3 linked regions of the Drosophila melanogaster genome follow. The protein of the gene in region 3 interacts with the protein of the main gene of each other region in a pairwise test. Each region holds a gene or a part of one and is shown on either strand. Other genes may lie near its edges. The genes, in order: Hsp67Bc, msb1l and Dlc90F.

What was found.
Region 1: the proteins of Dlc90F (region 3) and Hsp67Bc interact in a two-hybrid assay, tested with the Drosophila melanogaster proteins (2 studies listed by BioGRID).
Region 2: the proteins of Dlc90F (region 3) and msb1l interact in a two-hybrid assay, tested with the Drosophila melanogaster proteins (2 studies listed by BioGRID).

The regions. Positions count from the first base shown.
Region 1 is NT_037436.4:9,370,967-9,374,446, reverse strand, and holds Hsp67Bc (heat shock gene 67Bc), read left to right. Parts: upstream 1-1,949; 5' UTR 1,950-2,129; coding exon 2,130-2,729; 3' UTR 2,730-2,936; downstream 2,937-3,480. Other genes in the region: Hsp22 (heat shock protein 22), read right to left, coding at 1-196; CG4456 (uncharacterized protein), read right to left, coding at 1,003-1,057, 1,126-1,285, 1,352-1,472; Fdx1 (ferredoxin 1), read left to right, coding at 3,429-3,480.
Region 2 is NT_033779.5:19,576,036-19,579,788, reverse strand, and holds msb1l (msb1l), read right to left. Parts: upstream 2,089-3,753; 5' UTR 1,992-2,088; coding exon 1,815-1,991; intron 1,750-1,814; coding exon 781-1,749; 3' UTR 658-780; downstream 1-657. Other genes in the region: Pmvk (phosphomevalonate kinase), read left to right, coding at 1-331.
Region 3 is NT_033777.3:18,297,311-18,300,635, forward strand, and holds Dlc90F (dynein light chain 90F), read left to right. Parts: upstream 1-1,918; 5' UTR 1,919-2,111; coding exon 2,112-2,447; 3' UTR 2,448-2,734; downstream 2,735-3,325. Other genes in the region: Polr1E (RNA polymerase I subunit E), read right to left, coding at 3,063-3,325. UniProt on the Drosophila melanogaster protein: Acts as one of several non-catalytic accessory components of the cytoplasmic dynein complex that are thought to be involved in linking dynein to cargos and to adapter proteins that regulate dynein function.

The sequences.
Region 1 (3,480 bases), on a different chromosome or scaffold from region 3:
GTTTGTAGCCATCCTTGTTGACGGTGGCCGGCGGAGCGAACTCCTGCTCCTGCCAGCGGGCAATCTGCTGCCAGTTCCTCGGTAGCGCCACACTCCAAACGGGCGGCTCGTGGAAGAAGGCGTGAAAGGGCGAGGAGAGGCGTGGCATCCGTGCCATCTCCTCGGCCATGCGCCAAAACATCGGTAAGGAACGCATTGTAGTTAATAAGGTAACTTGGTTTTTCCAACAAAAGCTTCTTATGCAAATTCGAATAATTTGATGAAATTCCGTCCAATTGTTGTCTTTGAAATACTTCTTGGCTTTTTTTTAAATTTTTCCTCTATGTTTCGAAGATAATCTTGTTGTCTGAAGTTTCAATCCTATGAAATTTCTATTTAGCTGGCGAAATTTTAATTTAGTTGACTTTCTTCGAGTTGTTAGCAGTTGGTTTGGTTTTTTTGAACTGAGAGCGCAGTGTCCAACCGGTGGCTATTTATACTCTTGGCAGAGAGGAAATCCATATAATCTAGAAAATACCGGCACTCTCTCGAATTTTCTTCGCCCTTTGCTGATGCAATTTTCCACTTTGCCTGAAATCGGGCAATGGCATTTAGTTAGGGGTTGTTCACTGTTCTTTAGCGAACTCCGTGGAAGTTTCTGGGGCTCTCTGGGTGTCCAAATATTACTTTATTTACCTTTTATTTTAGCATTTAGCGAAGTTCTCTCTCGCTGTTGCGCCTTGGGGAAGGTCAGTTTCCATACGCAGAGAGACAGATTGAGAGAGCTCCATTAGAGAGTGGGAGAGAGAAAGTTTTGTGGGAGTGCACAGCTTTCTGAGTGCGAGTGTATACGTGTGTGTATTGATAAGCTTGCCATGGGTGTAGTCAAGAACTTGAGATATATGAAAAATACAGCTTAATATTAACAAATAATTAAAGTTTTCTGTTTTTTTTAGCTATTAATAATTAATTAATTAATTAATATTAATCTTCATTTATTCAGAAATATAGCGACGTTTATCGTCAAAGTCCCTCCTTTTGAGCCCATTCATTCCAGGAGCCTTTGTAGATCACCACACTAAAATGAGCATACATATATGTATCCGATATAAACTATTGCAACTATAATACAATTTTAAAACTCACTTGCTGTATCCCTGACTTTTGGCAATTTTCTCTGCTTCCAAGACTCGATTTCCCGACCGGCAGGTGAATATGATTGGCGACTGCTTCTCCGGCTTCGATCTTCCGTACTTGTTTTTAAAAGCAGATCCATCCAGATTTAGAGCCTTGTCCAGTTCATCCACTAAGTAAATAAATAGTAATAAAACACATAGTAATAAAGCAAATACTAGGGAAAGTAGTTTATTACAGGGTATATTGATGCTGGCTGGAATGAAGCCCGTCTGCTGGAGCTCTTCCTTCCGTCGAACGTCGATAAGATACACATCCGGATGGTTGGGCACATCCTTAACCTGTTCGTACGTGGCCATTGTAGTTATGGGGCGGAGCACGAATTTCAACCGGTTCGCCAGCTGAATAACAACTGACTTGCCAGCTGGGCGCAGATGATCCATTTATGAGGTTCAAGATTAAAGATTCGGGTATGTACATATGTATGTGCGTACTTGCTTATCGCATTTTGATTATCGTGGTGTCGTCTTGTTTGTCCAGCTGACACTGGAGATTGCGCCTCTCATCTGTATCCGATTTCACTTTGAATTTGAAATTAAAATCTTATGGTATGATCTCCAATACAGAGCTTGCTATCTGCACTCATTTTATACATACATACATACCTTATGGCGGATCACATATAACAGTTTACAGTCTACGAAAGCTTGGCCCCCAGAAGGTTCCCAGTTGTCTCCCTAGAATCAACGAAACAACGAGTTGCTGCTCCAGAAAAGCTCTGTGGCAATGGGCAAAGCTCTTCCGTCTCTATAAAAGGGCGCAGACAAACCGTTAAACTCCACATTCGAGTCGGAAAAGTCAAGGTGAATTGTGCGCCAAACTGCAGCTGAGATTGTGGATTCCACCACCCGCTGGCAAATCAACCCCTTGGATACTTTTTGAAAGGAAAACAGGTCGTCGGTTCAACGAACCTCCTTCCGCCAGATACACAAAGAAGTTAAGCAAAGAAAAGTAAAATGCCAGATATTCCCTTTGTCTTGAATTTGGACTCCCCGGACTCCATGTACTACGGCCACGATATGTTCCCGAATCGCATGTACAGGCGATTGCATTCGCGGCAGCATCATGATCTTGATTTGCACACCCTGGGTCTGATTGCCCGGATGGGTGCACATGCCCATCACCTGGTGGCCAATAAAAGGAACGGAGAGCTGGCTGCATTGAGCCGCGGTGGAGCCTCAAATAAGCAGGGCAATTTCGAGGTCCATCTGGATGTGGGACTCTTTCAGCCAGGTGAACTGACCGTCAAACTGGTCAACGAGTGCATTGTGGTCGAGGGAAAACACGAGGAGCGCGAGGACGATCATGGACATGTATCCCGGCATTTTGTTCGCCGCTATCCGCTGCCCAAGGAGTTCGATTCGGATGCCATTGTTTCCACTTTGTCGGAGGATGGAGTTCTCAATATCACGGTTCCACCATTAGTTTCCAAGGAGGAGCTCAAGGAGCGCATCATACCCATTAAGCATGTGGGTCCATCGGATCTCTTCCAGAATGGAAACGGTCATAAGGAGGCCGGTCCGGCAGCTTCTGCTTCAGAGCCAGAAGCCAAGTGAAGAGCCCCCTCCTAAAGATTGCAGCCTAAGCAGCCAAGTGATTTCCCAAGACTCTCGTTTATCGTTGCACCAAAAAAAAAGTCAAGAAAATATCGCACAAATCGTATTATATTTATTAATTTATTATTAGCTACATTTTAAACAGTCCAATCAAATTTTAAGACTAATCGAAATCCAGTATTAATAAAGGAATATGAATGTCTCAGTAATCAAAAGACTTTTACTAATATTTAAGAGCTTAATTCATATCAAAAAGCACGAAATCCAATTTTGGGTACAATATTAACTTTCCTTTGTTCGATTAGACAGGTATTAAAAGCTGTGCATATTAAAAATAGGTCCCCGGATGTCAATCCTACTTAAAAAAGCTTTGGTTAGCCTTTTCCCAGGTGCGATTGAGTGAACTTTTGAACTTTGAAATGAAAGCCCGCCATAAGTGTAATTATCGATAGCTTTTAGTCATCTTTCCAAAACTATCTATCGAAGTAACAGTTTTTAACAAGTGGTAAGTCAACGATAAATTTAATAAAAGAAACTAACATTTAATTACACAAAGTATATATATTATTTTTAAAGTTATTTAGCAGATGGAGTACATTATAAACTAATTTATTTTGTTTGGGATTATAATCTGAATAATAAAAACCCGTGACATATTGCATGTTGCCCATCTCCAGCTGGCACTGTAACCTCAAAAAAATGTTTTGTTTACTTTTGCGCCGCTCTGCAGTTCATAATTCCTGCAAATTAA
Region 2 (3,753 bases), on a different chromosome or scaffold from region 3:
CGGCTACTTCTGCCGCGTGGCCATGGAGGAGGCGCTGAGTCGCCAGCAGACGCCCTACATTCTGGTCAGCGATGTGCGGCGCAAGAACGACATCAGGTGGTTCCGGGAGACTTACGGGCCGGAACGAGTCATCACCTTGCGTCTAACATCCCGTCCAGAAACGCGGTCTGCACGGGGATGGACCTTTACCGCAGGAATAGACGATGTTCCCTCCGAGTGCGATCTGGATGATCTGGCCGACGGCTTCGACGTGGTGTTGGCCAACGACGAGGAACTCGACCAGGAGGCCATCGACATTCTGCTGGATAGGCTGCAGCTGCAGTATCGATAGAGCTTGGACCTCTCGGCTCACCATGCTTTGAACAAATGTATTTTTGATATATCACGTATTCCGGTCACAAATAGCGTAGTTAATGCAATACACTAGACAAGAATGAAGTTACGTACCTAATAGTAAATACTCTTGGTAACGAAATAGAGCTTGTGTGGCGGTTTTACTAACTTGCAACGTTTAAGACTTAATAGATTCAATGGATATACAAACTATATGTCGCTGATTATCGGTAATAGGTTACTTCAGGAATAAATAGCCCGGTTTCCAAATGTTAGAATAATACTCATGAGCAAACTGCATCCATCAATTTATGTGCACAATGTACTGGCAAGCAAACTAATAAAATGATTTATTAAAAGATGAGTAATAAAAGTATGTGTCGTGAGAAAAGACTATGATTTGGTGGGTTTTGATGGACATAAGGCAATAGTAGCTACTAAGCTGTGTTAGTAAACGGGTCCGCTGAATCCCTCTGTGCCAGAGATTATCCGCAGTTGATCGTTGAAGCTCTGCGCGGGCGGAATCTGATTCTTCTTAGAATCCTTTTCCATTGAACGGGATCGCAGATGCGGCTTATTCTTAACGCAACTGAGTGGAGTTCGCTTTTGTGCGGACAGGGGGGTACTGTTTGTCTTGGGCGTAATGGATCCTCCGGTCACCGGGGACCCCTCCTCTTGGTCAACATAGATCTTTGGCTTGTTGGCTCTGGCGGGCTTGCGCGGTGGCACACGACGCTTGTGACCCAAACGCACTCGCTCCAAATGTTTGTTCGACGGCACTTCTGGTAGCTGCTCCTCGCCAGCGACAAAGGAGGCCATGCTGCTGCCAGTGCTGAGATTCAGGGTCAGTGTTTCCAGGATGTGCTCCAGCATCTGGGCCTCGCGTGCCTCCTCCTCCTCGTCGTCGCAGAAGATGATGGGTGTGCGATCGACGCCCAGGCTGGGCGATCGGGGATCACCATGGGGCTGCTGTTCTGGCGGGGGCGTGGCCATTTTCACCTGGCCCTGCTCCAGATTCGGCTCCTGATACGGCAGCAGCTGTTGCTCGCAAGGCAAGGTTTCTTCCTGATCATAGGGCAGTGAAACAATCTCCAGGGAAATATTGTTGTGTGCAGCAGACGGCGGTGTGCCGAAGCTATCGCAGCTCTCCTCTAAATCCACTTGGGGCGGTGATGCAGGCACTGCTCTCTGTGCTGTACCCACCCTGGTGTCCACGAAGAGATCGGCGAATGTGTCATCCATATTAAGCGAACGAACCTCATCGAGGACCAGTGGAGTGCGATTCAGCTGAGGAGAGCGAGGATCGTTCAGGGAGAAGCCCTTGAGCAAACGTTTTCGCAGCATGGAGAAGGCATTTTCACTGGTGGTCACATGCTGCTCCTCCTCCTCAACGCGAGGTTTTGACGCCTGCAAGAACTACAACGCAGCCATCATTACTAGGGTTAGTAATATCAAAAAATACCTAATGCCTATAAACTCACGGTTAAAGGCGTGCGGCAGCCATTTGGTGATCGAGGATCGAGCAAAGCGTTGTTTTGCTCTCGATTCGGCGTCGTCATTTCCATTTGTTCTCGCTTTTCGCTGGCCAGGCGCATTTTGTTTAGTGTCGGCGTATCCGGCAGATATTCACCTTCCATTTTTGTTGCCTTTGCTCCCATTTTAATCAAATAATCTGACTTATTTTGCGACTTCTCACTAAATGTTGCGGGGTAAAATAAAATCGTTGCCGCGCATTTGTTTTGAAATGGCGTCGTGTGGAGTTGCCGGATCAGGAAATGCCAACTGGTAACAGTATTGTTAACGTCAGTCTAGCTATTTTCAAGCCAATTCTAGCAGTGATTACAAATGGATTTTATCACTAGTTCTTTCATTATTACTAATAACTAACTAATCGTTACAAATATAAATAGAAATTAAACAACGTTTGGGATATTTAGAACTTAAGTCTGTAATGTTTAGGTGGATTCTTCTTGTTTTACTCCTCTCAAATAAATTTATGAATTGATTTTTATTTATAGTACATAAGAAAATGTAAAATTCAGTAAACAAATAAACTAATATTAAAGTTATCAGATATTTTTTTTAATTTCGCTTTACAGCACTGATTTTTATGCTGCCTCGCGATAGTGTCATCTCCCTCCAGCTAAAGTCTGGCAACACTTGTTCATTTAAGACGCGACACAACGAATTGTACTCTTTCAGTTTTTCAAAAAGAAAATGGCATGAAAACAGGCCAAAAAAGTGCGACAAACGAAGAGCTAAATCCCAAAGTAAGTGGTAAAGTAAGTGATAAACATCCAAATGAAAGCAACCCAAATGCATACATAAATGCGCGAGTGTGTGTGCTAAATTATAACAGTAGTGACTGTGTACCTTCACGGAAAAAGGGAAATGAAGACAGGAAACTGGGTTTTTTTACTCCAGATGACTATTTTTATTGAATTTACGCAGTTGCTGTACTAAATAGGCGAGTGTTTTTGTGTATGTGTGTGTGGGCGCCGCAAGCAGCAGTAAATTCTCCTGTGTGTATATGTGTTTTTTTTTTCTATGGCCGTCTCCTTTTTACACACACTAGCGCACAATACAGCTGCGCCTTGTTTTTTGCCGACATTTTTTCTGCTTAGTTTTATTTATTTTATTTCAATTAGGCAGACAAATTATTTTGCTCGCTTTGTGGAGCCATCAATGTGGGTTAGTAAGCTAAAGTGCTGCGTAAAATTGCGCTATTGTTTTATTTGCCAATTGTAGCGCAAAAAGTAAGCAAATTGTATACACACAAACGCCAGAGCGCATGTCGTGCAGACTTTCTCTCTTGCTCCAAATTGCGAGTGTATGCATCTGCGTTCGTGTGCGTGTGAGTACTGAAAACAACCGAATTTCATTCATTGCTCATTTCCGAGAAAAACTACACGCTACACTCGTCGCCATCTGCAATTGCACCTCTGTGTGCGTAAGTCACTGTATCACAAGTACATTATATGAACTATGTATATAGGAGCCGCTGCAGTTGTGCAACATGTTAATTGATTCCAGGGGCTGCTGGGCGTGGCAGGTGCAAAAGCCCCTTCCACCTGGCTTCTATTTACAGAAACTTCTTCCCACTTCCAGAGTTCAACATTCTTGCTCTTCCCGTCGCTTGACCGCGTTTTTCAAACATTCCACGAGCGGTCTTAGCACACTCACACCGGCACGCTATGTGTGTATACATACGTATGTACGTATATTGATTTCAATCAACTTTGAAGCGCGCTCTGGCCTTCTCCTTCGCTCATTCGGCGGTGTGCTATGCTCTGCCTGTCTCTCTCGTGCTCATCTGTCAATTGAGCACCACGTCCGTTTGTCGGCTCATCAGCAATTTACACAGACACACACTTCACCGCGCTGCATCCGTGTGGGTAAATTCCATTTCCTGTTTATAAT
Region 3 (3,325 bases):
ATGTATATATACATTGCGTGATATACATTTCCTGTTTTTGTCATATGAAGATTGCTCTGCGAAGGGTTTTTATCACTGGGCACTGGCGTAGAGAAAAAGGGTGCTGGAATAGCATATGTTATATGGTTATGGCTACCATGTGAGGATCGCCCGAAAGTCAGTCAGCTGGAAAGTGAGGTAAGCGCGCAAATGCACCACCTGCTGCGTCCGAAAGTGACAAAACGAAAACGAAACTCCTTCGGTTTTCTATTTTATTAATGGGTAAAGAAGAAGCTTCGTGCAGAGTTACACAGAGAGAAAAACTGCAAATGTATGACTCGTAAAAAAAGTGTATTTAGTGACCAATGGTGACCATTTGAAGCGGTATTTATGTAGGCAGCTGTTCTCTAATAATTCCAGTTATTCGTTAAATGCAATGACAGTGTTTTTCGTGTGCTGGCGATTATGCAGTCAAAACAGAAAATGGGTTTCCCATCCCATCCATAAATGTCACTGTACTCCCCGCTTATCGCTTGAGGCTTGAGTAAACAGTCGGAACAAACGTAGCATATCGGTTTATGCAATACTTTTTGAATTGTACAATAACTATTGTGCAGTCGCCAAGTTTCCCCTTTTGCCTTATACTTGCAGTCAGCCGGGCAAACATTTAATTAATTAACAAATGCGACCTTGACTGGAATTTCAATTAAGTAAGTAGCTTGAGCAAAACTTTGATGAGAATGGTGGAGTGATGTTACATATGTATGTATGTTTGCAAAAGCAAGCAGTTGTCAGGGTGATGTTGTGGTTAAATATCAATTGCGGGTAACTAACCTTTTGGTGATTTCCGATTCGTTCCGATCCGATTCGTTTCGATTCAAAAAAAAAAAACCGATCCGCAAAGTTGGTTTAGTGGTTTTTTTTTGTCTTTGCCTTTTTGGTTCGCAGAGGGTGGACCAAAACAGTTAAAAGTTAAAGAGAGTGACTAATGCCGCACGCACACAGTCGCACTCAATTTGTTGTCATACACACACAGAGAGACAAGCGCACACTCGCGGGCATCAACTTTGCACTCTTCTCACCCCCTCTCGCTCGTTCACTCGCATTCAAGGTGGTTAACGAGAGGTGAGCCAACAAAAACAACAACAGCAGCAGCCGCGGAGCGCACTCACACACACGCGCTAAATAGCTGAACAGCAGCTGCAAAAGTAGTAGCACGTATCCGCAGAGACAAAAACGAAGAAAGCAGGAGATGGAGAAGGAAGTGCGCCTGCAGCTGCGACAATTATCACCCGATTATTTCGCAGCGTGTATTGCGAAATGTGCGCCTTCGATTTGCTAAATACTTTTGCTTAATTATACGCACGCACACACACACCAAGGCACTTTCCCATAACGAATTTAATTCAATTCAACGACGTGCTGCACGAATCGCTTTCAGCTGTGCATTTAATAGCGATATTTGTCGGCCTTGATATGCGTCGATGTTTTTCAATGGTGTCGCAGAAGAGTTATGGAATAATTTAATTATTTTTCGTTTTTATTGCGCCGCGAACGCGTCCGTTATGTTGATTCTGCCAGAGTGACCGTGGCTTGCAGTCGAAATAATCCAGCGATTAAAAGTTTAATTTTCCCGCGGTTTTCAGCACTGTTTTCTATCGATTAATTTAAATGCTTAGATGTGTTTCCACTGGCATCATGGTTATAATAGGTTTTAACTTGTTTGGTTCCTTTTGAAAGTACTTAATCTAATTATACTCTCCTTGACTAATTGCTTTGGAAAATGTTGATAGCGAAACCTTTGTTTTTAATAAAAGACAACTGTTTCTTCTCTTGAAATCTCTAGTGTGAAGATGCTGAAATGACCCACGATGTAACCGTTTCTCCGGTTAAATTGCAACACAGTCTGACCAGATCAAGGTGCCCAAGAAAATACTTCCAAATTAAAAGCAAACTTTGCTTTCCGCATCCCTTAGAAAAATAGAATCCCGATATATATTATTTGGACTGCTCGAACGCCGCCGACGAGCCCAAAAACGCGCGCACATTTACAACGACAACAATACAAACTTGAGCTCAGTACGTAAACTTTTTTGACCAGCTGCCGTTAGAAGCAAATCAAAGCTGCGACGATGGATGACTCACGCGAAGAAAGCCAGTTCATTGTGGACGACGTGAGCAAGACGATTAAAGAGGCCATCGAGACGACCATCGGCGGTAACGCCTACCAGCACGACAAGGTGAACAACTGGACCGGCCAGGTGGTGGAGAACTGCCTGACGGTGCTCACCAAGGAGCAGAAGCCCTACAAGTACATTGTGACCGCCATGATCATGCAAAAGAACGGTGCTGGACTCCACACCGCCAGCTCCTGCTACTGGAACAACGACACCGACGGATCGTGCACAGTACGCTGGGAGAACAAGACCATGTACTGCATCGTTTCGGTCTTCGGACTGGCCGTCTAGAGTGGAGGAATGGCAGGACTGCCGGAATTCGCGATGAAGATGACTTAAAAGGGGGAGGGACTAACAAGATTGCCGTCGTACACCAGCACACACCAACAACACAAATACCATACTTTTTTGATCGGCCATCCATCCTGCTGTAATAACAAAATTTATTATGGAGCACTTGAAAACCTTGTCGTCACTTCCAAGCAATTAGCAAGCAACTATTCCGTTGCCAGTGTACTCGCCTAATGTTATTCTTGATTTTCAATCTAAAAACGTAAATAAAAAGTGTATAATACCGTAGCATAATAAGTTAATCATTGCAAACTGTTTTCAATGGGTCATCATTTTTTGGGTCGTGGGAATATTTTTCGTTTCCATGGCAGCAATTGGCCATTGGTCTAAAATCGATTTAAATTCCCAGGCATTTGTTAAAATTAAACTTTAATGGTCTTTCTCTTATTTCTTTATTTATTTTAGTTTATCAAAACCTTCTATCGTTTAGAATAATAATATTCCTTCTGGCATTGCCCAAAATAACAAAATCAGAAGTACCTGGATGCAATAAATGTAATTGGCGCGCCAGGGTTTGTTAAATCGATGGCGGGCGCGGTGTCCTTGAAGATACTCCTACTTCTTGCGCTGGAAGCGACGGCCCGACTTTAGAGCCGGAACCTTGCTGGGCAGGCGCAGGCTAAGGATGTCCGAATTGGATTTTGGCAGAGCGTTCACAATGTGGGCGTACTGCTTGATCCGAGCCTTGGTGGTGGCCAAAGCACGGGAGAGGACATTGATGTCCACTTCGAACTTCTCACTGAGGAGCAGGGCCATCACAATAAAGTGTGTCAGTGCCTTTTCACTGCTGAAATTGGTGCGAGTTCCCTTCTTTGCCA